3 linked regions of the Caenorhabditis elegans genome follow. The protein of the gene in region 1 interacts with the protein of each later gene in a pairwise test. Each region holds a gene or a part of one and is shown in the gene's direction. Other genes may lie near its edges.

Region 1 (11,543 bases):
CTTTGCAACATAATTACGCGTGCCCCCATACAACCTCAACATCCTCCGTTCTTCTTCTCCTAACAATTCCTCTTTTTATTTCTACAGTAATATATGCAAAATGTATGTTTGGTTGGTTTGTTTCGCCTTTTTCGAATTTTTAATCGTTTCAAATCGACAGGAGGTGCACAAAAGACATGGCGCCCCGTGTCCCACACCGCCTTGGAAAAATGAACGTGCCGATTACTGTGAGAGGAAAAATAGTGTACGAGACGAAGATACGCCGACACATTTCTTTGTCTTGTCGCGGAAAAGATTGGATTGCACACACCCGAATTGTTAATGATTTTTTTGACATAACATATATGAGGTTGGCGTGCCCTCTTGTAGTCAGTCAGTTAATTTTGTCGTCGAACATGCCCTTTTGATTCGCAATTCTATTAGGTTCCTCTGTTCTTGAGCATCAGATTATAGGGTTAGTGAAGAAAAGGAAGAAGGGCAGGAAGTGCCAGATGATGAAGGGAACAATTGAAGAAATGATAAAACAGGAAGGATATGGAATATCATTCAAGTGGATATCTAATTGAAAATATGAAAATCTATAGAACTTGTTTTGTTTTGAGTTGGAGAACAATAGCCGATGCCAAAGGTTTTTCAATCTCCGATGCCGTAAAGGTGAAGAACTTACTCCTTTTCAAAATGACCAAATAGCATGATAAAACTTTTTCAAATGTTTTGATTTTTCAAATCTTACCATCCTAATTTTTGATTTCAACTAACTTTTTCGTGAACATTGCAAGGCTTACAACTCTGTATGGTCAAATCTCTAATGGTCAGTTTACAGAAACTTTGGCTGAAAATTTGAGAACTCAAGAATGGTGAGGCTTAGGCTTAGGCTGAGGCTTAAGGTTAGGCGTAGACTTAGGCCTTTCAATAAATCTTTGAATTTCATCAAATCAACATTTCACCGTATCACAAAAATTCGAAATCATTATGACTAATTGAAGTTTTTTATTTCTACATTCCTTGGTTTATTGGAAAACTAGATAAAAAGGTATTTGATGACAAATTGAAACATGACATCTTTTTTCTATCTCAAAAGAAAATGAGTTAGGGAAGCTTCTTGTCAAAATAATTGTCTCCAAATGTCAAATTTAAAATTCATTTTGATTGCTGTCACAGAACAATTAATAGTGTCATACTGTTTCTCAATTTTTCAAAAAATCTAATCGAATATGCCACGTCATTGTAGGTGGAGAGGCTCAAGCGCCGTTTATTTGCGAACCAAACCATCTGTTGATCCCTAATCCAGTTACCCTTTAGCTCTCTGACCATTACCCAACTTTTCTTGAGCAAAAGCACTTTGTCGGGAGAAAATGGAATGGAACTAAAAAAGCATACATTGATGATGAAGAAGAAGAAGCAATTCGATCCTGTCATCATGTTCGTTACCGTAAAACACAACTTTACGCAAAACGAAAAGCAAAAAGCAAACGGGCGGTCGAATAAAGGCGAAGAGAAAAAAAAAACGAAATGTCAATATTGTGATGATTTATGAGAGGAAAAGGAGGAGCAACTAAGAAATAGAAAAACCCGAAGAAAATGGATGATTACTCGTCTCGTCTTGCTCCTGTACATACCGTTGTCTTTAATTCTCTACCGTCTCTCTATAGAGACCAGAGAGGAAGCTTCTCCTTGTTCCGCAATCCTACTCCTCAAATTCTTATATTTGTTCTTTTTTACTAACCGACGACACCCCGCGACATACGTTTTTTTGCTCGTGCCTCGTGTATGTCATACATGGATTGGGACTCGATCAAGTTATTCAACTTGTACCATCCTTCTTTCACACAGTAACCTAGACACCTTTCTACAGTAACCCTAGATAACTCATAAATTTAAAAGTACTCCATTTATAACTGGAATATCTAGATTTTGTGCATCTGATTCTGGAAGGCATAATCAAAAATTAATCTCATACAAGTTCTAGAATTCAAAGATGTTAAAAAAATTAAAAGTATTTCATCTCTTTTTAATTGAAGTAATTTTTTCAAAATAAAAACATTTCGAAATTGGAATCTGATGAAATTTAACACAAAAATGCCTACCTACTTGCCTGCCCAGCAATCGCAACTTACCGTGAAACTTCTAGGAAGTTCTAAAAAATAAGTTTGTTGCTAATTTTTAATAGACCGTATTTGTTTTTCTTGCTCATATCACGATTCTTTGGTTTTATACAAATTGTTGGGGGTGAAATATTAATATGACTTAAAGAAGTACGATGTTTGCAGAAGGTAAATTTGTTTGGCCCCAAAGATTCCTTTCTATTTGTCTAACTTCACGGAAACCTAGTTTTATCATCAACTTCCCAATTTGAGTAGATTACTTGTATTCTCTCTATTCTAACATTTTCTTTTTCATTGCTCCTCTTCCATCACAATCTAGCTAAATCATAAAATTGCAACACAAACAGCCGCCCCATGGTTGAGGCCCGGGGAGGCTTCTCCTCATCATCATCGAGAGCCCCACACAGTAGTAATTCATTTATCTCTGCCTCTCTGCACCCTCTCACTTCTCGTTCTCACTATCTCAAATGGGCAATTTAAAAGTGGGCGGGGCTTTTGGGTCTCGGAACTGCCGGGGGCCCAAACTACTTGCATCTCTATCAGTTCTGAAACGGAGTGAAAAAGAAAAAGAACAAAATGGGCGGAGTCATGTATGAGGGAGAAGACGTGTCGGTCTCCCGTGGCGGTCGCCTTCTCTCTCTCTTTTGCAACAACTCATATTTTACCAGATCATATCTCGTCCCTCACACAGGCGCCCGGAGCGTCAGGTACAAGAATGAGTACCTGGCGCGAATCGAATCGAATATGTCTCCCCTCACCACCACCACCACGGGGGTGACAATTATCATCAAATTCGTCTCGAATCATCGACGACGTCTTCTGATGAAGAGAGAAAAAAAAAGACTTTTTCTGGGGTTGACTGTGTTCATTAATTCAATTAGTGTTTTATCAATCATTCAACAAATCATGCAAGTAATTCAGTTATTCATTCATTGATTTGCCATTTTTAGAAATTTCTGCTTTTTTAGTCAAGTTCTGAGGTTGAGACTTTCTTGAGAACTTTCAATAATGTAGTTCCATTTTCACATAAAACAATTTCAACCTGCCATGTTATTTTTAATATCTCAGCTAACACCTTTCAGAGCTCACTTACAGAAGCTTAACATCTGCAAGACGGAGCAACCATTTTTTCTGTAGTCTGGCGTCGAGCATGATTTTTAAAAATGATTTGTACTAGAAACTAATTGTGACGCCACAATTTGCGAGAAAGGGACACTGTCACTTTATAGCGATATATGTATCTATAACAAATTTCTGGGTTAGCTTTGCACTAAGGCTTGTATCTGAAAACGTCCGATCCTCATTTCCTATCTAAATTTAGAAATCAAACTTTACAACTCAACCTAAAATAATTCTAGTCTACAAGATCTGATGACTCATAATCCGAAAAGCCTGTAGAACACACACAAACAGAACTCAGACCCCACCAAATTTAACGGAATCTTCAACCGCATCTCGCACTTTATATTCATACCGATCCGATCTTTTTTCCATCCTTTTTTTCCAACTATTTCAATTGCAACACCGTATCCACCTCATGGAAAAGGGGAACCGCTCACTCACTCATTTTATACGATTTTCATCTTCTACACCCTCACTTACTCACATCATCACTCACTACCTTCCCCTGATCATTTTTTGAGATATTCTTTCTTTACCCAACCATGAACAACAAAATTTCATATTTACACTCGAAAAAAATCATCCGATTCAAGATTCTTCTGCGGCTATACTCGTCATTTGGCGCGAACTGATTGCCTATGGTTGATCCAAAAATTACTCTTTCAAAAACTGACAAAGCTCGGGGCAAACTTGAGAAAGTCCTGGTTTATGATGTACCCAAATTAAACTCACGTTTTATCTAGCTGTTGTGAAACTTGTATTGTATCGTTTTAAACTTGGCTGAGACGCTGAAAAGAGTTAGATCAATTTTGGGCTGAATCTGGGTGCGGCCTAAACCCAGTCATATAACCAAGTATTTCGTAACTTTTGCAAAGACAAATGGCGAGCCGGTGCATAATTCAAAAATGTTCATTCCAAAAATGCATTATGGGCAAATTTAGACTATAGGCTCGCCGCTCGATAACTAGCTCATTCGAGCAATATCATTTATGATTAATGACTCTATTTTAAAGTTCAATTTTTTATCGTCAATTGAATTCCATTCCCATTCCCTTACTGCCATCTCGTGTCTTCAATACTTTTACCATTTTACTCTAATAATATAAATTTTGATAATAGCCTTGTTTTCGCAATATGTGCCCCCTTGTCCCGTCGCCTTCTCATCTTTCTAATATAAATCGTTTTTGTTCTGTCTCTTTTCTCTGTGTGTGTTGTTTTGTATCCTTTTCTCTGCTTTTTTCCCTCTTCTTGTCCACTATTACTCTTTCATTCTTTGCCTATCATGCTCATCTTCTAGTAATTTCAACTTTTCAGAGCTCCAGATGAATGAGCTGCTCGCCGAGATGGCCGCGGTTTCATCCCGCAGAAAACAGTCAAAACCACGTCGAATGTCTGGTGGTAAGTTGAGGGAAATGAGAGGAAAATGCGGGGTGTTTAATGAAGTAAAAGACAAGAAAATGAAACAAGGCGATGATGATCGACCTTGAAATCTTGAAATTTTCTGCGAAAATAACAAAGTTGAATATTAAAACTTAAAACGCACTTTTGGAATGTTTCAAAATCATTTTAGTTCTACATTTTTGAAGGTTTTTAGACTTTCTAGAAAAACCAGTTATCACTAGTTTTTATGGGTTTTTGGGACATAAGTAATGAAAATTGGAAGGAGACAATAAATTGGTGTAAATTTACAATTTTAATGTCAATTCCTCTTATCAACTTATCAATATTATTCATATTACTTCGAATAGTTTCGGACGAGACATTTGCTAGAAAACCAGTATTAAAAAAAAATTAATATTACCAAAACCATCCTAGTTTGGCATTTTCATTTAAATATAATTTATCATATATTTCTCGTTCATTCATTTTTTTAAGTTTTAATGAGAAATCTGTCACATCTGTTCCACTTCAAGGAACACTTTTTCATTAAAATGTTTCCAACACAGAACCTTGTCAAATATGATAACATATCTCTTATCTCTATCTCTTTCGTATCTTCTTACCTCATTTTTAGTGTTTTTTCAATGCTTTTCCTTCGATTCTTTCAATCATAACCAATCAAAACCTACCGTAGTCCAAAGAGCTCCTCCCGAAGACCAGAGACACTTATTATATTTCCATTCATCTTTTCATATTGCTCCGCCCCTCCGTCACATTTCCATCCAATCATAAGCGACTATGAGGAGAAAGTGAGAGAGAAAAAAGAGCAAGAAAGCAGAGAAACGAGAGAGAGAGAGAGAAAATGTCCAAATATGGGAGTGCAAGGGGAAGGGAGAAAGAGTTTCGGAGAAAAAGAAAACCAATCAATTTGGCAAGTTCTGAGACAGACAGACATGAGAGAGAAAGGATGAGAGCATGTTGAAAAGGGGATGACAATTTGACAATTTGAACTTGGTGTCCAGCTCAAAGAGCAAGACTGAAATTTGTTTTGAAAGTTTTTAGTAGATAATGTTAACCAAAACGAGTTTCACAAATATTTCACCTGTGACAATAAAAGTTTAATTTTCCATTCAGTACTGTCAAACATTTCAACAGCTGTTGACAATTCGATGAATGTGAAGACCCAGTCTCTTAGAGCATGACTTTGTATGCAGAATATTTCTTGGTACTTTCTGCCTGTGTATGTGCATACAAATTTTACAGTCGTATATTTTCTATAAACATGTTGAAATTTAAGATTAACCTTTTTTTATTTAAAGATATATAGGCTTACTATTAGGCCGAGGTTGCCTTGCAGGCACGTATGCTCAAAAAAATTTTATATTCATCTTTGAGAAAAGAAGTGTATCATTTGTATCATAATTTCCGGTATCAGTTGTCTCTAAACCACCACCATCAGCTCTCGGCTTCATCTTCACAAATCATTTTTTGTGACGAACAAGTGCTCTTGTGTGTGAGACTTGAGACTTATTGTCATCTCATCTCTCTGCTGATTCTTCCATTGGCTGAGCCCATTATTATTTTTTTCTATTGAAAGCCTTATTGATTCTCTCTTTTTTGTGCTTCAAGTGGCAACATTATTGTGTTCGAGGTCCGCGAGCCGCCGCCTTCGACACGAGTCGAGTCGAGCCATCATAAAATCGAATTTATGATCGAACACAAAAGAAGTTTAGAGTGGCAGGATGAAGACGTTGTTGTTGCGAATCAGAATTCTTCTTCTGTGGGTCTTCTCCCCTCGAAACTCGATCATTTATTATAGTGTTTTTGTGTAATACGAGAGAAATAGTGTGCAATATCAGAGCTTCCTCCTTCAACAAGCAATATGAATTGGTTGGACGATGGAGACGAAAATTGAAACATTATGTGTGTGTGTCACAATGTGTGTGTGAGAGTGTGTATTTGAGGACCAGCAGAGTATCATCATCTCATATATTTTATGGATTTTTGATGGTAGCAGAGGTAGATGAGTTGAAAAAAAAGATATTTGGGGAGGAGGAGCGTTTGGATAACACTCATTAACATTGGAGGACTCTTTATGAGCGCGTGAGAAGAGAATGAATGAGACTATTATTGAATGGATGATATCAAACCAACTGACTCGCACACAGATAAGATGATAAAAATGAAGAGTTTTTGAGTTTTTGCTCATGAGTTGCAGTTACCAGAGTACTTTATTTTAAGGGGCTCAATTACGATATTTGCACAATCAAACAGTTCAAAACTGAAAATAGATAGCGTCATGTAATTCTCGCCTCGAACGAAAGTTTGGGTAGTTCCTTTGAATCCAGTACTATCTGATAATTGAAAGATTTCAGCTGCAAAAGGCAACTCGTCACCAAATTCTCAGCCAAATTTCGCCAACTTCGGCCACTTCCGTAAATGGCACCTAGAAAAACGCTAAAGTTGGTTAAGAAATATCGTTGATTTTCCGAGCAGTTTGACGAGATTTTTTGTTTTAACTTTCAGCTGAAATTTTTTTGAGAGCAGATTTTTCGAGTCTATTTACTACTACTTTGGAGGACCGTAATTTTGCTCTTAAATTGAATTCGGAAAAAATTATAATTGTAAAGGTCTCTAGGGGTATGCAAACATTTTGGAATATTTTTGGAAATTTTAATTTAAAAAAATTAAAGCCTAAAAATATCCAATTTTGAGCAGTCTTCCAGTTCTCAAAGAAATGAATCATTCACTTTAAAAATTTTCAAATTGAAATTTACTTTATACAGTTAATGTACAGCGACATTTTGTGTGGTTACCCAAAATTATATTAAAACAATTGAAGATATCTAGAAAGTTCAAAATTTGTTGCTTCCAGTGTTTTTTGAAGAAACAGGATTTACTTTGGATCTTTTGATCTAAATACTTGAAGTTGTCGTTTTGCTTCGATGTTTTAATTTGTTCGTTTGAAAACTTCAAATTATGTCTCTAATTGTACAATCATAGTCCCCTTTCTCAATCGGCCGTTATCATATTTACAGTATCCTCCATCTTTCCTCTGTAGACACATCGTGTCCCAATCGACTCGAATTAGTTGTAATATGCGGAAAAGTTAATCAAATCATGCCCTTTTTGTCAATAATCAATCGTTGACATCGTCTTAATTTTTCCGTTAAACCCACCTCCTTCTTCGTTTTTTGCTGCCTTTTTCGTAATGTTTATTAGAGCGTACTTAACCTTTTCACCCCCTCATTTTCATTCCTTTTCTCTAATTTTGGCTAATTCTCGCAATTATTTTTCAATTTTTTTGTTCAATTTGAAACTCTTAATGTTTTGTTGCGACCCGAAGACGTCGTTGTTGGGAGAAGGGGATGAAGTTTTATGTGTTTCCGACGCCTTCTTCTTCTTTTGATCATTTACCGTTTTTACAATTTTTTATGACATTTGGAAGGAAGGTTGTTGCTTTTTGGAGAAGTTTTATTTTACTATTAAATTGGTATATAGATGACTTTCTATTTAGGGACGATACTCTCTGTTTTATTGATAACTGAAGAATGTGGAACAGGAGGAGTAAGATTTATTTTTTGCCTAGAAGTTAGGGGGACTGTGAGGTGCAAAAAACTGAAATTGACCAACGTTCAATTCTGAAAATTCGGAAGTTGGAAATAATAGGGCTCAACATTTCAGCCGTTTGCTCATATGTCCAAATGGCAATAGACAGCTGAGCAGAAATATACTCGAAATGAAAAAAAACTAAAATAATTCAGAATTTTCAAAATTTTGCAAGATTAATAAAAAGAAACCTGAAATATAAAGTTTGTTCGAAGGCAAACTTTGTTTCAAAAATTAGGATAGGTGAACACGGAGCGACTCAAACTTTCGACTACAAGTATACATTTCAAAAACATTCTTGAAACGTCTCCCTTGAACACAATGATACCTAGATTTAGCCTGTAAAAATCTTTTACACTCCATTCTATTTTAGTTGGTAAAACTTTATGAACTTATCATGTTGCTCTTCCCAATATCTCCACATATTCATTTTTCTTCCAAACCAATCAATCATAATATATCCCCTCTCATAAGTCTCCACCCATCATCCAATCGGATGCCTCCTCCTCTCTCTCCGTTCATCTGTTCCATTAAGTCTCCGTTTCGAATACGGTAATATACCCTTCCGGATCATCAAATCGATTTCTATTTTCAACAACAAAAAAGCGTTTCGGAAATTATAAATGTTGCGAAAAAAGATTTCAATGAGAGGGGTGAGACAGGTTCCGAACCCATAAAGCCTCCTCCTCTTCCGTCCCTCCACGGGGTCTCCGCACACATTAATGGTTAAGAATCTCTTTCAATTCACACGCTATTTCATCCATACAGCTTCCTTCGATCTGACGCGACGACGATGACTTTTTGTGTGACAAAAAGTTAACGAGCAACCGATGTCAAACTGTGTATGTATGTGTTTGCGTCGGTTTGTTGCGATTTTTACGACCCCTTCTGTTTCTTGTGAAGAGAGATGAATCGGATCGCCGACGGCGGAGAAGACGTGCATAATTTTTGCGTTTTTTCCGCGCCATTGACACCGATTTGGTACACATTAAATTAAAGATAAATGAAGAGAGAGTGGGCGGAGCTTAGAGAGAGTTGGGTCCATTAAATCTTTAACTTGCAACAACAGAAATTACAAAAAAGTTAAAAAATAACAATACATATTTACAGAAGGTGATGCGATGATGTCTCCAATTGATTTATCGACAAAGAGTTTTGATGAAAATAACTGTGAGAAGGGAGCTGGTGGAGCACTTCCATTGGAGGATCGATCTAATATTTTACCTCATTTTTCTGTGCCATTTGCAAATCCACAGCAGGTAGGCAGTTAAGAGAGATGTTTTTGTAACTGAAAAGGCTAGCTTGTTAGGTGCAAAACTTTGTTTAAAAGAGGTTTAAAATCTGTTCAAACTATTCTCTAAGCATTTCATTTCAATTTTTATTCCGAGAACCCAAATATTGGGACCACAAAAACCACAAGTGTATTACGGTTACCAAAAATAAAAACTGTGACAGTTCTAGACATTTGTAAAAAAAAACCCCATTTACACAGATAATTTAGCGGCAGATTAACATTTTGAACTGGAAAAACCGATCTGAAAATTTTCAGTGAACTTTTACACTTCTTTCGAAAACACTCAGAGTTTTGTAGGTTTTTAATGAATTGAAAGATGTAAAGGAAGGAGAGCATTTTGAAAGGGCTTAGAAAGTTTATGTTTAGGACCTAATCATTAGACGGAATTTATGAAAATCTCTCAATAGAGGAAAATGACCCAAACATCAACCATTCATATCATATTTTCATCATCTTCATCATTTTCTTTCATCTTCTATTTTTGGTAATTTCACATTAACCGGCCTTGCCAAAAATTTCATTAATTACCAATTTCGGCAAAATATAGCGAGTACATAATCGAATTTTCCCACACCCAAGCCGATCATTAAATTAAATATTTATTAGGAAATAGGGATTCAAACATCTTTTGTAATCACTGGAGAATCAACTACAGTATGTATAATTTCAAAAATCAGTTGCTGAAGTTAAAATAATGAGAATATTATAATTTCAGTTTCTATCATTATGTGCTCAACTGGGAAATTCATCAAGTCGAAATGTATCATCAACAGCATCAACAACATCATCATGTCCAATACAGTCATGCTCTCAGGTTGGTATTCTATGTATATAATAACACCTCTTTTCCTTAAAGGGGGGGGGGGGGGGTAACAACGACCTCTTCGCCTACCGTATCCTTTTGTGCCAGCCATAACTTTAATGGTATTATTTGGTCGTGTTTCATTCACTTTGTCTGACAAAGAAAAGGCCCCCCTTCCTTCAAAAAACGAGATGTTGCGACGTTGACGACGATCACAACGACGACAAAAACCAATAAAAATGAAATTACTGTATGTATTCAATGTCGCGCAATTTTTGGTATGAAAAGAGGCTATGGGGGGAAAAAAGAAGAGGTGAATGTTGCCAAATCAAAAAACATGAAAAGTTGATATTTTTTAGTGAATAGGGAGGGATTCTCAAAATCTTTCTGTTTTCAGAGTTTTTCATCTCCGGCAGCACTGACGTGGCATGTATTGGATGCTCATGAAGATGAGCAGGAGATATTTTCGTGTGATGTTTGTACAACAACGTTTTCAAACGGACAGGATGTAAGCTTTTACTTATAAGGAAAACAAGTCAGTTCAACCCAAAAACTTGAGAACAAGACATAAAAAAATTAACACAAAAATGTTTCCTAAAATTTAAATCGGAAAATTTTTCAGTTTAATGAATTTTTGTTATTCGTCATATTTTTGTAATAACCTAATTTAAAAAAAAACTTACAAATAAATAGTTTTTTTTAATCTTCAGCTGAACTAACTTCCCCTGCTTGTGAGGTTTTCCCTAATTTCTCAAAAACATCTGCTAAATTAAAAATATAAAATTTTAGATTAGGGAGCACAAATGCCAAAAAACATTAGCATCCCGTAGTACATCAGTACCTCCATCGACAATTCCATCTTCTGTATGCTTCTTATCAACACCTACAACTCCATGTCTTCAATTTTCAATAAATGAATCAATTGGAACATCGGAGATTCGAGAAGAGGACGAAGAAGAAGACATGGATGTTGAAGATGGTGAACATGTTGCAAATCAGTTATTTGGACACCTACTACAAAAATCAGATGATAAATCGAAAATGGCGTCACTGTTCAATCATGCGTTTCCACCGTTTGCAGCGTTTCCTAATATGCCACCACCTTGTGAGTAGACAACGAAAAATGAAAAAATTCTGAATCTGCCAATAAAGCTTGCAATTTTAAAAGCAATATGGTTCTTAATTTTCTCTGAAAAAAGCAAAAGTTAATTTTGAACTCAAAACTTACCCT
Region 2 (11,543 bases), on another chromosome or scaffold:
GCTAATTTTATATGTTGTTGGGATATTTTCTACTGTTGCATAGGTTACTTTTTTGTAAAATTATTCAAAGTTTTCTTTAAAATCAAGTTTTAAAAACATTAAGTTTATAAACTTCTAAATAGTACTGTCAAAACGAAGATCCTTGTTAAGTATATTCACAAGTTTCGGTAAATTCGAATGACCTTATTGCTAACCCAACCACATCCTAAAACATGTTCTTCGATTTATTTTCATTCACCATTCTTTGCATACGACAGAACATGTGTTAAGCTTTAAGACGGTTTTAGGTTGTACAAAACCATAAAAAACGCAGAAAATCACTAACCATGTCAGCTTTTGGTACGAAAACCAACGCTGTGTGAAATGTTGAAACTTGTTCTTGAAAAACTTCTCTAACTCTTAATTATACTTTTTCCCTTGTAGAAAACCTTCGATTAGTTTCTCATTTAGATACATGGCTCTAACTTCAACACTATCCACATTCCATATCTGACGCCATTTATTTTTTCTAAAGAGTGACTGTATAAGCCCTTTTGAGTACCTTTTTTGCCCGTAAAATCTGGCCGCCGTTCCCTTTTGATCGGATTCCTCTTTGCAATACCTACCAATACAATACAGACACACATAGTGTTGAGAGATCTAGACGGAGAAATGGAAGAAAACCGAAACCGCAAAATAAACACTGCGTGTTGTTCTGTTTTGCTGTACTCGTCTCCTTTTTGGAAGAAAAGTTGATGGGAATAGGTTCCAATTTTTGATTGGACAAGTATGATTCGATGTAACCCGTGCTCCATTGGCTCCACAAAGTCAACAAAAAGTCTATACTGAAGCCAATTTTGTACTTTTCACATATCTACAATGTCAAACATTTTAAAACGTTGTCTGTAACCATTTTTTCAGCTTCGGAGTATTATCTTGTGGTACTTTCGGACAGCTCTTACGAGATCTACATTTTTTTACGAGGTGACTTCGATTCTTCTTTTGTTTTTTTTTCCAAAAAATTTGTAGTCTTCTATTTTTGTTTCGTTTTTTTTCTAACTTCTTCTACTTCTTCTACTTCTTTGATTACACTTTTCTCACGAAATTTCAATTTCTTCTTTTTTCCGTGTGGTGGCTCCTTTCTTTCCTATTCGCTAACTGCTTCTTCATGAATAGCTAACTTTTTTCTTCTCTTCATTTTACTTCTTTTTCTTTTTTTTCCATTCCTTCTTTGGGACAGGGTTATTTGAAATTAGTGGTCGTATAACTAACCTTTTGATGAAAAACCAAGGACGTTTTGCACTTTTTTCATGTAAAAAAAGCGTAGAAGGACAAGCCTTTTGTTCACTTTTCATGTTTTCTAATCGAGATAACTTGGAACTTTTAGGGCAGTGTATTGCTTACTGATGTTCTATATCTAGTTTTTCGATTTTGGAAAATTGGAAATCATCGTTTATGGTTTTGTCCTCGACTTCCAGAAAACTGAATAATCGCCACTTTTTGACGGTTCTCAAGGTTACTATATAAAAGTTAAGCATCCAGGTGTCAATTAAAATGGAGTTCAGATTGCTAGCAAAAAACCAATGTCATGAGCTTTCAAAACGGAGCCGATAAAACGACAATTTTGTATAGGCTGCAGGTTTTTATTCATCTTGCAAAATGTGATATGCTCTAGATGTTTTTGTTACATACCTAACTAGAATAAGCTTTACTGTAGCTGTTTTAGAAATGAAGGTTCCGAAAACAAATAATGAATAGCATGAAATTATTCTGCTCGAGTCTCTAGCCGAGATCTAAAATTATCAAATTATTATGATCCGATGCCCCATTCGTTTTAAAGCTCTGAGGAACATCTTGCAACTTCAATTGCCCTTCAAAATTTCTCTCCAATCAATCTCTGTGTTTATGTGTTATTGTTGTTACTCTCTGGTCATAGAAGAATCTTTGTCTGTGAGCACATGTGTCATCTCTTCTCTCTCTCTCTCTCTTTTCCTGTTTTCTATCTTTCCCAAAGTTCAATCCTCATCTTCGTCGTGTTTTTTCTCTGAATCATCTGACTTTTTTCCCAGTTTTTTTCATGAATTCCCTGATATTTCAGAATCATTTCGCAATGCTTCTTCTCAACATCTTGTCTTCTTTATAATCCATTCGGGATTATAAAGGAACCTTATTCTTCCAGTCTTTCCCGCCTCCCTTTTTTACTTTCATTCCCCTTCGTTACATCACCAAAACCCGTTCTTCCTGTCTTCAATCTATCTGTATTACGTTATCAATGAAAAAAACATACATCTCCGTTTCTTTTTCATCTACAGACATCTTCTCTTTTCTATCATTGACATACATTAATACTTTACTTTAATTTCAGAATTAAAACTATCAAAGCAATACAAATTATGCAAAAATGGTTGATACAATTTCTGTTCTGAACCCAATTCATCTCGATTTGTCAGTCGATCCCCAGGATAATGTGAGGTAAGATGTTTATATTAATTAATTTACTGACAATTTGTAAATGATTCTTATTATACACTTTTATGTAATTTCTTTTAATGAAATATAATTCATTATATAGTATTTTATGACCACAGTAGTCCACATGTAACTGTGCTTCTTCTTCTCCGGTTTCATAGGTTCCTTAAAGAGTAATTTTCGTGAATCTGCGGAACGAAGTGCCGAACTTTTCATTGTTAATGCCTTGCCTTTCTTTGTGGAACACTACCATTTTCACTTTTACCCATGTTTGATATCTCTAGACTCTGGCAACTGAATTGCCTACAAAAACAATACAAATCTAACTCAACAATGCTGTCATCCCTAAACATTATTCGAGTAACTCTTTCAAACTTAAATTTTCAGAATCTCCGCCAGAAGCACAACATCATCATCTGCCTCGACATCATCCGACTCTGAGCTAATGAGTCCTAGGGCTGAGGAGCTTTTGAGAATGCAGGCTGAGCTCAGAGCAACACGAACGGCGCTTGCTGAAAAAGATAAAAAGATGACACAAATTCAAGTGACAGTGGATGCAGAAGTTCAAGAACTTACTGAAAAATTATTTCAGGTAAGACCAGTACAACTCCGATCCTGAGAAATTAGCTTATAAAAATTCTCGATTTTGATTTTCAAAATTTCATAAGATAATTTAAATTTTTAGAAAGTTGACCAAGTAAAAAAGATAAGAATGATATTGAAAACCGATGAAAAAGTCTCAAAACTCCCATCACATCTTCAAGTTTACAGGAGGCGTACAAAATGGTAAACACAGCAGAAGCTCGTCGTGAGAAAGCAGAAAAACTACTAACCGAATCAAGACTTGAAGTTGAAGTTCTTCAAGCAGAAGTACGTGCATTGAAAGAATTGATATCTGCTCCAGGAATGGGTCAAAACCATTTCAAGCAGACAACATCTCCAGAACATAAATCAACTTTATCAAAACTATTCAATGGATCAAGTTCATCATCAAAAAAACAAAAAGACGCTGCAAATGTATCAGATAAAAAGAAAGCTTCATCACTTCCATCTACATCAACATATACACTAACACCATCAGAAGATAGAGAACAAAAAGAAGCAAATGCAGTTGAAGAGATCGATCCAATTCTTTTTTCTGAATTTGAATTTTGGAGAGAAGCTGGACATCCGACGACATCTCATCCATTTATTGATAGAGTTACCGTTGAAGAAGTTGAACCATGTATGCTATTCGAAAACTCTGAGTTATCAGAAGAAATAATGAAGGCAATTCGAGAGAATCGTGTTCAACTTGAACCATTAAATGAACTGAAACCATCTGTAAGGATTTGTGCATTAACAAATGCTTCAAGGTTTTGTCCGTATCGAGTAAGAACTGGTGATGAGGAACAAGAATGGCATTATGTTTCGTTAATTGCCAGGAATAGGGTGAGTTATTCCACTTTTCTTGGTCTCGGAACGATTGATAATTTTAATTGAGACTGCCAAAAAGGTGCGCGCCTTTAAAGAGTACGGTAGTTTTCACTTCTCACAGTTTTGCCATTCTATTCGTTATTTTCTTTCGAAACCCTTTACTTAGAAAACGTAATAGAAACTACCTTACTCGTTAAAGGCACACTTTTTTTCGCAACCTGAATTTCAAAACTTTCAGTCGTGCCGAGACCTGGTACCGTAATCTTGATTTCTCAATTAACTCAAGATTTACAGATTGCCGCAGTCTGTGACTTCTTCACGTGTATCCGATACTTGTCCCAAGGTTTGATCAAACCCGGGCCTCGAGATTCATATTTTCACGTTGTAAACTTGCGGAAAAACATGTCACTTGCCAAACTGGGGCTAGGATTTGTCCCGCGTTCCAACATACGCCATCATTGAATTAATAGTATTTTACCATAATTTGAAACTACAGGTCTTTCACACTTTTTATACAAATAAATAATTCAATTACAAATTTTTTGGTGGTATAAATTATTCGTTTTTACATTTTACAAAAAAACAACTATAAAACGGATCATCTCAAGAACATTGGGATAAGGCAATAGAACAACCAATCATTAAGCGGATAGAAATTAAATAAAACGAGATTTTTGAAGACAAAAAAGGAAGGAAAGAAAGAACAGAACAGGATAGAAGAAAAGGAAGAAAAATCACAGAATTATAGAGAGAAAGACACACCTCGTGTTTGCAGCTAAACAAAATATGGAGAATTAAAATGTATTACGAGTGCCCAGAAATCATCTACAATTCTAGAAAATTAAGATTTTAGACAATTTGTTCTGGGCTCATTTTGGATGATAAATCTTCGAATTCACGTGAATTTGATCACTTTTTCTGTTGCAATTGATTCGCCAGCCAATCCATCGCTGGGTCGAGCCCTTCTCCTTTTGAAGCAGATGTCTTGAAAATTTGAATGGTACGATTACGAAGAGCATCCAATCCCAATGCTTTGTACACTTCAGTTTCAGTCAAACATCCAGCAATATCTTGTTTATTGGCTAAAACTGCTAAAACAGCTCCTTGAAGTTCATCCTCTTGTAGCATTGTTGCAAGTTCTTGACGAGAGATTCCAACCTAAAACAGTTGATATTAAAATCCTTACTACAAAAAATAAAATAAAATTTCAAACTTACTCGATCTCTATCAGCAGAATCCACAACATAAATGATTGCATCAGTATTCGCATAATAGCATCTCCAATAAGGCCGTATCGATGTTTGTCCTCCAAGATCCCAGACTTGGAATTTCAAATTTTTGTACTCGACTTGTTCCACGTTAAAACCAATTGTTGGAATCGTGGTCACAACTTCACCGACCTGAAACTTAGCTTATATGGTTTTGTTTTCAGCCAGAAATAAAAACCTGCAGCCTATACAAAATTGTCGTTTTACCGGCTCCATCAAGTCCCAAGATGAGAATACGCATTTCGCGGGCGCCAAAGAGGCCACGAAAATATGACATTACTCCTCCCATTGCTTCTGATCTGAACACAGATATTTAAATTGAAATCGGAAATATTTTGAAACGTTTTGAAAAATAGGAATACAAGTAAACGTGGATTTACGAGCAAAAAACGTAGAAGGCTAGAAAATAAATTCTTAATTTTTTCTTATAAATAGTCTTAAATATTAGCGAAATAAATTAAAATAACACCAAAATCCTCTCATTTTACACTGGAAAGCACCATTCCGTACTTTTCAAAGACAAAAGAGACGGAAGAGATTGGTGCAAAAGGAGCCAGGAAGGATGGACCTAGCAAGGGTCGAAGAACTCTCTCAAAAATGCTCACTGACTATGTTTTTGGAGAGAAGCGAGCACTAAATATGTCAGTCTGTGAAATGAAGAAAGAAGGTTAGGATTTGAAAGTGTGGGAGAATGAGGAAGTAGGTGAGTTGCGAAAAATTTTAATAATAAAGATAATATAAAGGTAAAATTAACCTTTAAAGGAAAAAAAAAACTTAATCAAAATGCAAAAAAAACACTTCATTTTCCTCATAATAATAAAAAAAATAACAGTAACAAAACACAAAAATAACAATTAGAATGAACTAATAAAACAAAACAATTAGGAAAAAAACAACCGGATGATTATTGTCCATAAACGAGTCCCTTCTTGAGACGACTTGGGTTCAATCCATAAGCTTTCACGCGAGAATCCGTCATTCCTTGTCCGAACTTTTCAGCGATTACGTTGTTCTGAAAAATTTCGAGTTTTGAATAGTTTTTTAATTTTTTTAAAACTTTTTTCATGTTTTTTTTTCAATTTTACAAAAGTTTCAAATTATTGAATTTCCCACCTTATTCTTATTCCTCTTTCTTGTCTTCTTCTTTTCTTCTTTTGGAGCTTCGTGAGCAGCTTCGGGTTCTTCAGGTTGCGGCACAGGTAATTGCTCTTGCTTGTCAACTTCTTCGACTTCATTTTCAATGGCTTCCGTCATATTTTCTTCGGGATTTTCAGTCTGAAAGTCAGATGAATATTTTAGAACTAGTTACTCAAAGTTTAATACAAACCTCAGTAAGTTTAACCTTCTTCTTTCCTCTCTTCTTCTTCTTTTTCTTCTTTTCAGCATCTTCTTCGGTGTTATCATTTTGATCATTCATCTCGGCCATCTCCTTCTCCATTTGTTCGTCTTCCATTTTTCTTTTCAGTGATTTTTTCCCTCCAAAATCGATTGAAAGAATTCGTTTCTTTTTGTTAACATCTTCAGCCTTTCTTTGATACGCTTTCCGGTCGAAAAACTCTTCCTGTGATGTACGATAAGCGGTAACTTTTTTCAATGATGCCCACGCGTTCAGTTGACGTTCATCAGCTTCCAGAATTTCATCAGTGCTCAATCCAAAGTCGTTTGACTCGACATCTCGATACTTGAATCTTGTTGGTGTATCACCAATAATATCTTCATAATCCAAAGCATAGTATTCATTGAAATATTCCTCAAACGTCTTTTCCTTCGGATTGAACAGAGGTTTCTTCCTTGCAAGAGCATCTTTCAAAGCGTTCCTTTTCGATTTCCGACGACTATCTGGAAAGGAAGAACAGATGATAAGACAAAAAATATCTTGAAATTACAATATTACCATTTTTATCCTTTGACATTGCTTTTTGTGCGGCAGCCACCATATCGAACTTTCCATTTTTCATTGCAGATTTTTTCGATTTTGGCACTTCTTGCTCATCTTCATCATCAACACTTTCCTCATCTTCTTCGTCGTCATCGTCAGCTTCTTGTTCTTCTCTTTTCAACTCGTCTACATCTAAATTGTCATAATCCTCATAATCACTGTCTTCCATCTGGAAATGAGAGAGTTGGATACGGTAGGAGACAAAAAACAGTTAACTTACATCACTGAAAATCGGCTTTTCGTCCTCATTCTCTTGAATATTCTCCTCAACTCCATAGTACTCATCATTGAAAATTGACTGCATCTTTTTATCAAATTCCTTAGGATCAAAGTCAGCGTTCAGCTCATCAAGAGTTAATGGGATATGGATTCCAGCAGCTTTCTGTAGTTTTCCAAGTTTCTGCTCAATTTCAGATCGTTTCATTTTTTTCAGCTCTGCCAATTCTTTTTTCTTCTCTGCCTTTTCACGCTTTTTACGTTCTTCCCGTTCGTGTCGTTTGTCTTTACGAGAAGAATCTTCGGATCTCATTGATTCAGCAACTGTACGAGGATATTGTTTGATCTTAATTTTAATCTTTTACGGTGTAAAGAGAATCGTCATTATTTTTCTCATAGAAATTAAAAATCTTTTTTCGGAAATATTGACAACAATACTTACAAATTCCTGATCTGGATCCTCGAATCTAAAGTTGAATTTATGCTCATATTTTCTATTGCTGTCAAGGTCTTTTTCATCCTCTTCGAGAGCTACGATATCCTCATATGTTGGATTTCTAGAAAATTTAAAAATTAATTTTTACGTATTCAGGAAACAACTAACTCTTCATTCTCTCCGGGCTCGTAGTCTTTATTCAGCAAATAGTCTCTGAGAAATTTATCGGATTCATCCATATTCTTATCATCTTTCCAAAATTTTTTCAGATGTTTCAACTCTTTTGCCTTCTTTTTATCAGCTTTTCCATCTTCCGACTTCATCCATTGATAAAAATCTTCATCCTCGTCTTCTTGCTCTTTACTTGTTTTCTTTCGTTCTGTCAGAAGATCATCGTCGGCACCATCGTCAGCGTTAATTGCGGCGGAGAGGCTGAAATATTATCCGCTTTAAATTATTTGATTTATGAAAATTACCTTTTTCTGATTTCCTCTTGCTCCTCATAGTATCCCCTCTGCTGAGTCTTGTTGTACTCGGCTTCTTCATCACTTTCGTCGATTTGTCTGCAAAATTGTCCATATTCAGGTTTCAAAAAGGTTTCGTTCAGCATTTACAGCGCGTTCAATGAACTCACTGAAATAGTTTTACTAACTAATGAAGCCAAAACTACCAGGGGAAAAATGAAAAGAAGAGCTTCCACTATGAGAAAGGAGATGTTATCGGATTCCATCTCCCGATGGACACATGCAAATGGACTGGACAGCAGGGGGCACCATACTTAAATAGTATGTATTTCGATGAGAGCGCATGGAAAAAGATGCCCCCTGCTTGTCTTTGTTGCGTGGATTATTCAATGGGAAATTTGTATGTACAAGCTTAGGTCAACAAAATGTGCTCATATATCAGATATTATCTCAATTTACTGATTGAAACGTGGAAGCAGTTTTTAGAAACTATTCTCGTTTTAGAGAAATATTTGTGAACCTCGACTCACAATAAATCTAGTCTTCCAGTAGCATTGAATTAACAAGTAGATAATTTGAACTTTCGTAGAAATTATACAGTTTTAAACCAAAAAATGTTGCGAAAATTTTTTGTTTCAGTTTTTTTGCAAGTTATTAAATATTAATTGACTAACCCTCCCTTTTCCAGAACCAATTTTCGTTCATAATCCTTGATTGTCATTTTTTCGTCTTTCTTCTTTGATTTCTCTGATTTAGATTTTTTGGGGTTATTATTTGGTTTCGATGGAGCATCCTGAACGTCTTTGAAAAAGCCTTTTCCGTTTTCAAAACATGAACTATCTCCGGACTTGAGAGCTCCAAGTGTTTTAAGGAAAGCTTCTTCATGGCCTTCGGTCCATTCCGGTTCTGATTCACTTGACGAATCGTCATCATCAATATCTCCATATTTGTCCTTAACTGAAAACAAAATTGTCAATAAACGAAGCAGAGTAGATAAATTACTTTTCTGCATTTCCTCCAATCGCCTCCAATTGTCGTATTTTTGAGCATAACCCTGAGAAAAATATAATTTTATGTATTTAAAACACAACAATAAATATGTACCTTATTAATCTCCCAACCAGCTCCATTTTGCTGCTCTTCTGCGTCATCTTCTCCAAAAAGAGAAACCTTCTTCTTCTTGTTCATTTTGTTTCTTAAATAATAAAGCTTGTTTGATGAATATTTAAAAATTCAAATTTTCATCAGGAAAATAAAACATTAAGCTTACTAATATAATAAAAAGAACAAATTCTCAAAATTGGCAAAAAATCGAAGAAAAAGAGATGTGACAACACGAGTTCAACCGAGCGCGTTTGCATTAATTTTCGTGGAAAAAAAAACGCAAGTTTTGAAGAACTTCGATCAAATAAAAATGAATTATCTCCTTCTTATAAGATATATTTATGACCAATGACAGTCAACTGATTTATAAATACTGATTTTATAATAAAAAGTATAGAAACACGATTCAAGCTACAATTGTCTTTATTACGACACCATAGCAACCTTTAAAAATTACTTCCATTATGTTACAAAAGTTATATAAGCACAAAATGTACAAAAGTACGCGATGGGGTCAACTACATATGCAACAAGAAGCGAAGCGTCGGTTATTATCACTAGATGGCGTTTCTAGTAGAGGCACAATCTAGCGACTTACAAAAGAGGCGAGTAGGTATCAATTAAAAAACAATTAATAGTACAATGGGCGAGTATGGGGGTGCGATAAAATATGTTCAAAATCTGGGGTATTGTGGCAGTAAGGGGTACATACACAAAATTACATTATTCGTCGAAGACGGAATTCTTCTGGAAGTTCAGTTTGTTCATGAAATGGGCACTGATGTCCATGAGTGGAGTTGGCATAGCCCAGTATGGCATTGGCTCATTCGTCATCGTCATTGGCACATTGAGCTTCTGGAGCGACTCGATTATTTTCTTTCCAGAGGAAAAACGCTCAAGGCGGCCGGAATGACGGTTGACACGATTCTTGATCCGATCGAACCATTTGGCATAGAGGCGCATTTCCGATGCCACCATCTTACGTTCCCTAAAATAGTTTTGTTGAACTGATTTGGATTGGTTGCACTTACTCTTTTCCGAGAAGTGCAGAAATGCAGATGGAAATCATCTGTTGGACGACATAGTTCCCGTATTGATGGAACAACAAGATGTCCAGAGCATCACGGTTCGTCTCCTGATCCTTCACATATCCATCGAAGATTTCGTCCATCATCTCTGAGAGCAAGAGAGGTGGAGCAAAGAGAAAAGCTCCTTCCACAACATGGGAAGCATACTTGTCTTGCGACATCGATAGAATGTTACGGAGAAGACATTTTTCGATGATTGTATCACGGTACATTTCCATGACTCCAGAGGACTTGATGACGTATTGAACGACGTAGTTAGCGAACTCGTTCGATGAAAGTCGGAAGCAGTTGCGTGCCACTGATGTCATGAGTCCATGCAGGAGCTGAAGACGTGTGTTGAAGCAATGGAGCTGGAAATTTTAACATTAGCCCATCGATTTCCAAGAAATAGTAATACCTTCGGATTATCAGACAGCTTGTCGATGGTTTGCTGAACGAGACGGCAACCATACTTGTCTTGGCAAACAGTCATCAGGTTGTCATCGCGACACAGAAATTTGACGAAGAAACTCCACGCACTAATTGGTAACAGTTTGACAACTTTCTGCAGAACGTGGATGGCGCATTGATCGGTGCAAAGTGGCAGAAAATCAAGACTGCTGATCTTTTCGACGAGCTTCATCGCGATCGAGACATCGAATTTCTGAAACAAGTAAATTCTAGAAATCATAAGTTTACTAGGTTATACCTGGATCGACATCTGCACCACACGGCAAGCAAACTTGTCGAGGCACATTTCGATCAATCCGTTGTCACACATCTTGCGGACGAGGCGTTCCTGTTCGTCAAGGGTTGCATGTTCAACAAACTTCTGGATGATGAAATTTCCGGCAGCACTGCGGCAAAGACTGGTGAAGACAGCACCCTGCTCAGTAAGTTTGTCAAAGAGCACAAAGTGCATCTCGTTATCATGATCTTCTGGGAAATGGCGCTCCAGGAACTTGACTCCAGTTCTATCCATAGCGAAATCGATAAGCGATCCGTTGCTAACAACATCTTGGAGAGTGAGGTCATCCCGAATGTTTCCGCTGTTGTCGACAGCCCAGGCAGGCAAAAGACGGGTTGATCGAACATTGCTCTGGACGTTTCCAACGAATGACGTATTGTTGGCGGTGAAATCGGCAAACGACTCGTTTCCAACGGAAAAATCGGCAAGCCCAAAGT
Region 3 (10,806 bases), on another chromosome or scaffold:
ATAACAAGAAAATAAGAAGTACCAAACATAAAGTGTAATGTGAATTCCTGAACAGCTCTCCGATAAACTGAAAATAGGCAAATAATTGGGCGGCACCTTTCTGGATTTTGTATTCGCAAAGTTCCGAATCTTTAACTGAATTTGATCTCTATAAAACATACAAACCTCAATTAGATTGAATTAAAATATTGGAAACGAGAACGAGAACTGAAAAGAGAGAAATACTTTATAGAATTTGTATAATACAAAAGAATTGGCAAAATTGGCTCAAAATGCAAACAAACAACTGTAAAATCCTTTCTTCGAAGCAACTTTTTTTGAGGTGTACATAAGCTCCGTAAATCGACAATGGCCCTGTGAGAGATTCCCTACCATTTCATGGTCGTACATTAAAGTCTAAACAAGTAAAAATGTGAACCTCGGAAATCCGAAACTTCCTCCTCGTCTTGTGGGCGTGTATCTTGTTGAGCCTTCTTCTCCCTCTTCTGTCAATCTCGTTCGTTTTGTTTTCTCGTTACATTGATAGCAATAAAAAAGTTCCTTATTGGACGAGGATTTCCGTTTTCGTTTCCGTTCCTCATTTTTAATTCTTTAGTATATGAATTCTAATTATGAGAATGCGAGAAAATAAATGAAGAAGAAAACATTTGATTGCATCCAAAAAGTGCATCCAAAAATAGGCTTTCAAGAAATTGAGAATTTTCACTTATTCTGACAAGATTTTTCATTTTGGCTTCTTTTGGAATTTGGATTTTTGGAGAATTTTAATTGGATAAAAAATTACTTGTATTTCTGAGAAAAGCAGACCAAAATGTTACTTTTATAAAATTTTATGCGAGTTCTATAATACCATTGAAAAAATTTCCTTCGGCTTATGAAGATTCAGATGGGCTTGGCGATTTTGGAGGTCCAGATTCACTTGGTGCTTCAGGGAATGCCTCGGATTGTTCATCACCGCCTGGTTGTCCTGGTGCTCCGTCTTGCCATGGGTCTTCAGTGAGCAGTACCAGCTTTTCCCTGTGCTCCTGGAGCTCCAAAGTACCCTGCTGCATGGCTTACATGGTGGTGGAGTTATTGGTTCACATGGTTGTTTTACAAATTCTACATTTTAACGTGTCGTCTTAATTCATATTTTGAATACAGACCACACACAGTCTGAATATTCCAATTCGTCAGGGAGGCTTTGAGGAGCTACGTGGTTTGAAGCAGTGCTTCTGGATTAGAGTTTGAAGATAATTTTTCAGTATTAAAAAAATATTTTTGAGCATTTGGATGGTAATTGTTTCATTATTAAGTACTGCTTGATTTACAACCGTCGTTTTAGATGGAAATGAAAATTAATTTTAATGTAAGTTTTTGGCATCAATTCAATGCTACGAAATTATTTCAGTGTGCTTCCAAAGATCTTGTGAAGAGCGAGGATCCCATATGCAGCAAGAGATCTCTAAACCTCACAGAGTATCCTCCATTGAATTAAAATGCACAATAGTTGTTATCTGGAATAATCAGACTGTTTGCTACTCTCAATAAACAATTTCGCATTGCCTTTCCAATTTACTTTAGATAATTAGATATTTTCTTTCAATGATCGAATATCTCCATAAACAATGGTACCGTTTGGAAAACTGTTGTTACAGCAATCCACACGACACAATTATTGTGTGTTTATTGAAGAAGGCCACCTCTTCTTGTTTTACAACCACCAGAGAACTTGGTACATTGCAGGAAGTGGAGGTATTGGACATCTTCCAAATAGGTCATCCACGTCAGTTGATGGGCGGAGCAAAGGCATGCACAGATAGAGCCTAGCATATTCATTCATCTAGTCAATTAATCTCTTTACTGTTTCATTGTTTTTCCTTTTTATGTTTTTATTCAGTTTTTCCTTTTTTGAAGAAAATCAGCCTATCATCTTGTGACCGGCTAGAGCGACGCTGTACAGAACTGGCCTAGTTTTCTTCTGAAATTTCACTCTTATTTGTCCAGTGCAAAACCTCCCAGTTCTCCAAAATATGTAACTTAACGATTGAATGTTAAAATAATGATGAAAGCACTTATTTTACAGAAAATACAAAATTATATATATATATTTTTTTCTTAGCAAAACGCTCTAAAACTGTTTCTGATTTTGAAAACTTCAATTATTTCAGGTTAACCAAATCATCATGTTTACGATGTCCAAGAACATCAAAGGATTTGCTAATATGATTCGTACTGAAGATCCTATGGAAGTTTTCAAAGCTGTTGAAGGGCTCTTAGAGATGGAAATTCCATTCAAGTATTTCGAAAGATACAATTTGAAGGACCTGATTCTGTCCAAAGTTCTAAAGAGCATTGGCGGCTTGCTTATCAGAAGGCTCCAAGTTACACTAGAGGAGAAGGATTTTGAGGACAAGTTTCAAAAAGAGGATCCAGAATCTGTAAGTTAAAAATTATATTTTAAAATTTCTCTGTAGCTAATAGTTAAATTGGGAGAAGTCATATTTTGAGTTTTTATTTCTTTCAGCTTGAGGACGGTGAAATGGAAGAAATCCAGATGTTAATGATGACACCAACAAAAAACGATTTCATGAGAGCTCAACAACAACTGGATGAATGCGGATACAAGGATCTTCCAGAAGATATTCAAGAATCTCACGAGTTCACCCGTGCACTAACGGTGATTGATGCCTACCGCTGCGGCCATGAGACTCCGGAGCCAACCACTGAGTTCTTCAAAATCGACACTTCTGATATTAAAGATACCACAATGGACAATTTGAATGAAATTAACTGCATGGCTAATAAGGAAAACAGAGCAAGAGTTAATAAGAGCAAACAAACATCTCAATCGATCAGAAGAATTGCTCCATTTTGAACTTTTCAGAATTCTATAGATCTGTTTTATTTTTATTTTGCTTCTCAAGTTTTGATAAATGGTTATTTAAAATTGTTCAATGTGTAATTGTTGGATTGAAATTGAGCATTGAAGTTAGATTGAAAAAATCATAAGAACAAGCTTGTTCAATTTTTTCGTAATCTTCCTTCTGAACAGGCCACTTACATATAGCATTCACAGCATTTACTAAAAAAAGAAGAAGAATATTCTATATAATATATCTAGATAGCGTATTTTTAAAAATTTGCGATTTTAATGCTTGTTGTTTTCCTGTTGTTGTACATATTTAGAATAGCATGTTTTTGCGCGCAATTGATCAACAGGAGAGCGTCTCCGTCTACATATCTCTCATGAAATAACCCTCGAGAGACGCAGCTGTTGTAAGATAGTATGTTTGTGTTTTGAGTGTGGAGGCTTAGATGGAACGTTGATTTTCTTTCTTTCTTTTTGTTTTTTGAAATTTTTCATTTGGAATATGAATTTTCGATTCCTGTCTGTAATTTTCAAATATTATTTTCAACTAACATTTAAAATTTAAATACCCTCAATTTTTCAAAAAAAAAACCGTTTTTAAGCATTTACTTTTGTTGAAAAAGTCTTCAAAGAAAGATCCCGCCGCTAAGAATAATTATCAAAACAATTTTTTTTGTATGCGCCTTTGACATTACTGTAAGAAATTCCTGCAAATTTGTTTTTCTCATTTTGCCAAATTTTCTAAACACAAAATTACAAACAAATACTGAAAAAATAGTTTCAACAAATTTCTTACCCGCGGTGTGATCCATCAGCATACAAGTCCTAGAATTTTGCAAATAAATAAATACACTGTAAAAAGTATCAGGTTGTCCCATAAGTTTTTGTACTATTTTTTTTTTGAAAAAAATTTATTTCTCTCAAGCGACAAGTAGTACTATTCACACAAGTATTCACCATTAGTGTCCACCACTTGTTGCCATTTACTAGGTAACATCATGATGCCACGGGAGAAGAAATCCGGCGAACGCGATGAGAAGAAAGTGGAGAGTTCAGTTTTGAGATGCTCTTCGTCGTCGAATTGCTTGTCGCGCATGTAGTCACTGAGAGACAAGAACAAATGGTAGTCGGTTGGTGCAAGATCTGGAGAATATGGTGGATGCGGTAAAACAGTCCAACCAAGATCTTGCAGCTTTTGGAAAGTCTTCTTGGCGACATGAGGCCTAGCATTATCGTGAAGAAAATATAGTTTTTCATATTTTCCGTTGGTCTTTTCTGCAACTCGGTCCAATTGGGCACAATAGTAATCAGCAGTGATAGTTTTATTAGTTGGCAACAATTCCCAGTGCACGGGTCCTTGAACACCCCACCAGACACAGATCATAATCTTTTTTGGGTGAAGATCAGGCTTTGGCGTCGGTATTCCTTTCTCACCGATCGGAAGCCATTGACGTTTTCTGGAATGGTTAACATAGAGCACCCACTTCTCATCTCCAGTAACCAGATTGTTCAGCCAATCGAACTTTCGACGAAAAGTTAGAAGTTGAGTACAAACGTTGACCCGAGTGAGCTTCTGTGATGCCGAAAGTTCATGAGGCACCCAAATTCCAAGTTTTGAAGTAAAACCAAGGCGACCCAAGTGACGTGCAATTGTGCTATGACAACACTCAAGCTTCTCTTCCATTTCACGAAGACTAAGACGAGGCTCTTCCTCCACCAGCTTCACTAGGTCTTCTTCATTTAACTCTACCGGTCGCCCAGAACGTTCTATTTCTTCGAGACTGAAGTCGCCGTTCTTGAACTTTTGAAACCAACTCTTTGCTGTATTATAAGAGAGTGCTCCCTCACCCATCGCACCGCATATGTTTCGTTCCGCTTCCATTGCTGAATGACCAAGACGAAATTCATAAAGAAGAAGCAATCTAACGTCTCGACGTTCAAGTTTGATGATTGTCATCGTGGCAAAGTAGAAATGGATGAAATGAATCTTTTCTGAAAGGGGACGACCCGACCTTGACACGACCTACGATGAAAAAATTTTAAAACTTTGTAGAAGTTTTGGAAAAATATTTGAAAAAAAGAACAAAAACTTATGGGACAACCTGATATTTACTCAATATCGTGCTTTCTTTTTTCATTGTTCCATTTTTTAAAAGCCTATATTTCTGAAATAAGTAATATCTAAACAAAGCCACAAAAAATAATTGAGTAGTGTAGGTTTTAAATATACAGTAGTAGCTGGAAAAATGCTATCGTAATCTAAAGTTAATTTTTTTTTTGGTGTTTTCAAAATTTTGTTCAATCAATTTTAATGATTCTTCAATTTGTTTCTTACTTGTTAGGATTTGATGGACCAATTCAATGAACAAAAAACAACAAGAAAAAACATATTACGGACATTTCACGTGAACTGAATCGTACGTGCAACGTTGTATAACTTGAGGTATGAGAAAAAGAGAGAATTGAGTTACAGAATTTATGGGCTTTGCGTGTGGTACAGGTCGTGACAATAGTGAGAAATTAGGGACAGTTGGGCGCCAGGCGCCCAACTTGAACGATACGAGGGCCACGAACGGTGAACATTGGGGAAATTTAATGTGCTGATGTCGTTGCGAAGGGCCCGATCGTTCGGTGTTGTTGACATGACGTTGACTGTGCAGGAGCTGCTGGTGTTGTTGATGGAGCCGACTGTGCTGAAGTACGTGCTGCAAAAACGAAAAAGGACGGACCGAAAGTACTTATTATTGGTTAAGGTGGAGAAAAAAGGTAAAATGGTAAACCCACGTGATTCGATAATCCTGGCAGCTCCCGTAGTTCTGATACTTGAAGCTCGTCTGCTGCCCAAAACGAGAATCGTCGCCTCTGAACCCTGCTCCTCGAAAATTCTTCTGCTCTCGCGTTCCACCCAAATACGAAGTATCTACGATTTTCCTAAATCCCTGACACGAGCCCTGGGCCGCATCTTACACTTCCTCTCCGTTGTGGCTCCTGAATACCTGAAAATGGTGAACCGGATCTGAAAACACTTTATTATAATTAGGATAGTTTGTAGTTTGGGGATTATGGCAGTTTCCCATTCAAAACGACCCCGAAAATGAACTACCTGTAGTCTGTTATGAAGTCACCAGCCGCTGACCGCGCCTACGGCGCGGCCAACGACTGGCAACATTTGAAATGTTTGACACAATCATTCAAAAATGGCTTATGAAAAAATAATGAAACTTTCACATCTTCCCAAATGTTCCCGACTCTAAGCAAGAAACTATCAAAATATCTTGACATTATCCTCACCAATTCCCAAGCCAATACATTTTCAAAAACTTAAAACGCAATTTTCCACCAAACTCCAATAATCCTACAATAATCCTACAGCACCCCAACAGTACCACTACAGTACCTTGACACTATTCCCTATCAACTCCCGAGCCAACACCTCTTCAAAATGTTTTAAACTCAAAATTTCCTAAACTACAGTAACCCTACCGTATACCTACAGTACTCCTACAGTACCACTACAGTACCTTGACATTATCCCTCACCAACTCCCAACCCAATACATCTTCTGTAGAGAAAAACTCAATTTTTCCTAAACTACAGTAACCCTACCGTATACCTACAGTACTCCTACAGTACTACTACAGTACCTTGACATTATCCCCCAGCAACTCTCTACCCAATACCTCTTCCAACTACAGAAAAGAGAGTTGAAAGATCAAAGATCAAACTACAAACTACAAACGGACGGAAGGACACGCGCTTTATATATAGTAAATTGATTGATCTCGCGACTCGTTTCCGATCCCCTGTTTTCTCCACTCCGTTAGTTGTCCTTTCCTTATCCAGGTCTCGTCCGAAACCCTACCGTATACCTACAGTACTCCTACAGTACCACTACAGTACCTTGACATTATCCCTCACCAACTCCCAACCCAATACATCTTCTGTAGAGAAAAACTCAATTTTTCCTAAACTACAGTAACCCTACCGTATACCTACAGTACTCCTACAGTACTACTACAGTACCTTGACATTATCCCCCAGCAACTCTCTACCCAATACCTCTTCCAACTACAGAAAAGAGAGTTGAAAGATCAAAGATCAAACTACAAACTACAAACGGACGGAAGGACACGCGCTTTATATATAGTAAATTGATTGATCTCGCGACTCGTTTCCGATCCCCTGTTTTCTCCACTCCGTTAGTTGTCCTTTCCTTATCCAGGTCTCGTCCGAAACCCTACCGTATACCTACAGTACTCCTACAGTACTACTACAGTACCTTGACATTATCCCCCAGCAACTCCCAACCCAATACCTCTTCTGTAGACAAAAACTCAATTTTCCTAAACTACAGTAACCCTACCGTATACCTACAGTACTCCTACAGTACTACTACAGTACCTTGACATTATCCCCCAGCAACTCTCTACCCAATACCTCTTCCAACTACAGAAAAGAGAGTTGAAAGATCAAAGATCAAACTACAAACTACAAACGGACGGAAGGACACGCGCTTTATATATAGTAAATTGATTGATCTCGCGACTCGTTTCCGATCCCCTGTTTTCTCCACTCCGTTAGTTGTCCTTTCCTTATCCAGGTCTCGTCCGAAACCCTACCGTATACCTACAGTACTCCTACAGTACTACTACAGTACCTTGACATTATCCCCCAGCAACTCCCAACCCAATACCTCTTCTGTAGACAAAAACTCAATGTTTCCTAAACTACAGAAACTCTACCGTATACCTACAGTACTCCTACAGTACCACTACAGTACTTTGACATTATCCCTCACCAACTCCCAACCCAATACCTCTTCTGTAGACAAAAACTCAATGTTTCCTAAACTACAGAAACTCTACCGTATACCTACAGTACTCCTACAGTACCACTACAGTACTTTGACATTATCCCTCACCAACTCCCAACCCAATACCTCTTCTGTAGACAAAAACTCAATGTTTCCTAAACTACAGAAACTCTACCGTATACCTACAGTACTACTACAGTACCTTGACATTATCCCCCAGCAACTCTCTACCCAATACCTCTTCTGTAGACAAAAACTCAAAATTTCCTAAACTACAGCAACCCTACCGTATACCTACAGTACTCCTACAGTACCACTACAGTACTTTGACATTATCCCTCACCAACTCCCAACCCAATACCTCTTCTGTAGACAAAAACTCAATGTTTCCTAAACTACAGAAACTCTACCGTATACCTACAGTACTCCTACAGTACCACTACAGTACTTTGACATTATCCCTCACCAACTCCCAACCCAATACCTCTTCTGTAGACAAAAACTCAATGTTTCCTAAACTACAGAAACTCTACCGTATACCTACAGTACTACTACAGTACCTTGACATTATCCCCCAGCAACTCTCTACCCAATACCTCTTCTGTAGACAAAAACTCAATTTTTCGTAAACTACAGTAACCCTACCGTATACCTACAATACTACTACAGTACCTTGACATTATCCCCCAGCAACTCCCAACCCAATACCTCTTCTGTAGACAAAAACTCAATGTTTCCTAAACTACAGAAACTCTACCGTATACCTACAGTACTACTACAGTACCTTGACATTATCCCCCAGCAACTCTCTACCCAATACCTCTTCTGTAAACAAAAACTCAATGTTTCCTAAACTACAGAAACTCTACCGTATACCTACAGTACTACTACAGTACCTTGACATTATCCCCCAGCAACTCCCAACCCAATACCTCTTCTGTAGACAAAAACTCAATTTTCCTAAACTACAGTAACCCTACCGTATACCTACAGTACTCCTACAGTACTACTACAGTACCTTGACATTATCCCCCAGCAACTCCCAACCCAATACCTCTTCTGTATACAAAAACTCAATTTTTCCTAAACTACAGCAACCCTACCGTATACCTACAGTACTCCTACAGTACCACTACAGTACCTTGACATTATCCCTCACCAACTCCCAACCCAATACATCTTCTGTAGAGAAAAACTCAATTTTTCCTAAACTACAGTAACCCTACCGTATACCTACAGTACTCCTACAGTACCACTACAGTACTTTGACATTATCCCTCACCAACTCCCAACCCAATACCTCTTCTGTAGACAAAAACTCAATGTTTCCTAAACTACAGAAACTCTACCGTATACCTACAGTACTACTACAGTACCTTGACATTATCCCCCAGCAACTCTCTACCCAATACCTCTTCTGTAGACAAAAACTCAATTTTTCGTAAACTACAGTAACCCTACCGTATACCTACAATACTACTACAGTACTACTACAGTACCTTGGCATTATCCCCCAGCAACTCTCTACCCAATACCTCTTCTGTAGACAAAAACTCAATTTTCCTAAACTACAGTAACCCTACCGTATACCTACAATACTACTACAGTACTACTACAGTACCTTGACATTATCCCCCAGCAACTCTCTACCCAATACCTCTTCTGTAGACAAAAACTCAATTTTCCTAAACTACAGTAACCCTACCGTATACCTACAGTACTCCTACAGTACTACTACAGTACCTTGACATTATCCCCCAGCAACTCCCAACCCAATACCTCTTCTGTAGACAAAAACTCAATTTTCCTAAACTACAGTAACCCTACCGTATACCTACAGTACTCCTACAGTACTACTACAGTACCTTGACATTATCCCCCAGCAACTCCCAACCCAATACCTCTTCTGTATACAAAAACTCAATTTTTCCTAAACTACAGCAACCCTACCGTATACCTACAGTACTCCTACAGTACCACTACAGTACCTTGACATTATCCCTCACCAACTCCCAACCCAATACATCTTCTGTAGAGAAAAACTCAATTTTTCCTAAACTACAGTAACCCTACCGTATACCTACAGTACTCCTACAGTACCACTACAGTACTTTGACATTATCCCTCACCAACTCCCAACCCAATACCTCTTCTGTAGACAAAAACTCAATTTTCCTAAACTACAGTAACCCTACCGTATACCTACAGTACTCCTACAGTACCACTACAGTACCTTGACATTATCCCTCACCAACTCCCAACCCAATACATCTTCTGTAGAGAAAAACTCAATTTTTCCTAAACTACAGTAACCCTACCGTATACCTACAGTACTCCTACAGTACCACTACAGTACTTTGACATTATCCCTCACCAACTCCCAACCCAATACCTCTTCTGTAGACAAAAACTCAATGTTTCCTAAACTACAGAAACTCTACCGTATACCTACAGTACTACTACAGTACCTTGACATTATCCCCCAGCAACTCTCTACCCAATACCTCTTCTGTAAACAAAAACTCAATGTTTCCTAAACTACAGAAACTCTACCGTATACCTACAGTACTACTACAGTACCTTGACATTATCCCCCAGCAACTCTCTACCCAATACCTCTTCTGTAGACAAAAACTCAATTTTTCGTAAACTACAGTAACCCTACCGTATACCTACAATACTACTACAGTACTACTACAGTACCTTGGCATTATCCCCCAGCAACTCTCTACCCAAAACCTCTTCTGTAGACAAAAACTCAATTTTCCTAAACTACAGTAACCCTACCGTATACCTACAATACTACTACAGTACTACTACAGTACCTTGGCATTATCCCCCAGCAACTCTCTACCCAATACCTCTTCTGTAGACAAAAACTCAATTTTCCTAAACTACAGTAACCCTACCGTATACCTACAGTACTCCTACAGTACCACTACAGTACCTTGACATTATCCCTCACCAACTCCCAACCCAATACATCTTCTGTAGAGAAAAACTCAATTTTTCCTAAACTACAGTAACCCTACCGTATACCTACAGTACTCCTACAGTACCACTACAGTACTTTGACATTATCCCTCACCAACTCCCAACCCAATACCTCTTCTGTAGACAAAAACTCAATGTTTCCTAAACT

What was found.
Region 2: the proteins of sem-4 (region 1) and rabi-1 interact in a two-hybrid assay, tested with the Caenorhabditis elegans proteins (one large-scale study listed by BioGRID).
Region 3: the proteins of sem-4 (region 1) and F27B3.6 interact in a two-hybrid assay, tested with the Caenorhabditis elegans proteins (one large-scale study listed by BioGRID).

What each region holds. Positions count from the first base shown.
Region 1 is NC_003279.8:7,034,359-7,045,901, forward strand, and holds the start of sem-4 (Spalt-like protein sem-4), read left to right. Parts: upstream 1-4,541; 5' UTR 4,542-4,549; coding exon 4,550-4,625; intron 4,626-6,282; exon of another isoform or gene 6,283-6,353; intron 6,354-9,326; coding exon 9,327-9,475; intron 9,476-10,225; coding exon 10,226-10,324; intron 10,325-10,709; coding exon 10,710-10,820; intron 10,821-11,101; coding exon 11,102-11,417; intron 11,418-11,543. UniProt on the Caenorhabditis elegans protein: Transcription factor, involved in positive and negative modulation of transcription. Binds to multiple DNA sequence motifs in the regulatory elements of target genes, including homeobox selector egl-5 and LIM homeobox mec-3.
Region 2 is NC_003280.10:8,575,888-8,587,430, reverse strand, and holds rabi-1 (GDP/GTP exchange factor Sec2 N-terminal domain-containing protein), read left to right. Parts: upstream 1-2,344; 5' UTR 2,345-2,380; coding exon 2,381-2,451; intron 2,452-2,835; coding exon 2,836-3,040; intron 3,041-3,219; coding exon 3,220-3,879; intron 3,880-4,158; coding exon 4,159-4,326; 3' UTR 4,327-4,397; downstream 4,398-11,543. Other genes in the region: arl-1 (ADP-ribosylation factor-like protein 1), read right to left, coding at 4,774-5,022, 5,082-5,264, 5,311-5,421; F54C9.9 (Protein KRI1 homolog), read right to left, coding at 6,037-6,144, 6,246-6,407, 6,460-6,971, 7,027-7,240, 7,292-7,633, 7,730-7,844, 7,892-8,155, 8,200-8,286 and 3 more; puf-5 (Pumilio domain-containing protein 5), read right to left, coding at 10,015-10,279, 10,323-10,729, 10,777-11,022, 11,068-11,543.
Region 3 is NC_003281.10:6,569,944-6,580,749, reverse strand, and holds F27B3.6 (uncharacterized protein), read left to right. Parts: upstream 1-2,144; 5' UTR 2,145-2,165; coding exon 2,166-2,420; intron 2,421-2,506; coding exon 2,507-2,857; 3' UTR 2,858-2,932; downstream 2,933-10,806. Other genes in the region: F27B3.8 (Zinc finger protein 263), read right to left, coding at 873-1,052.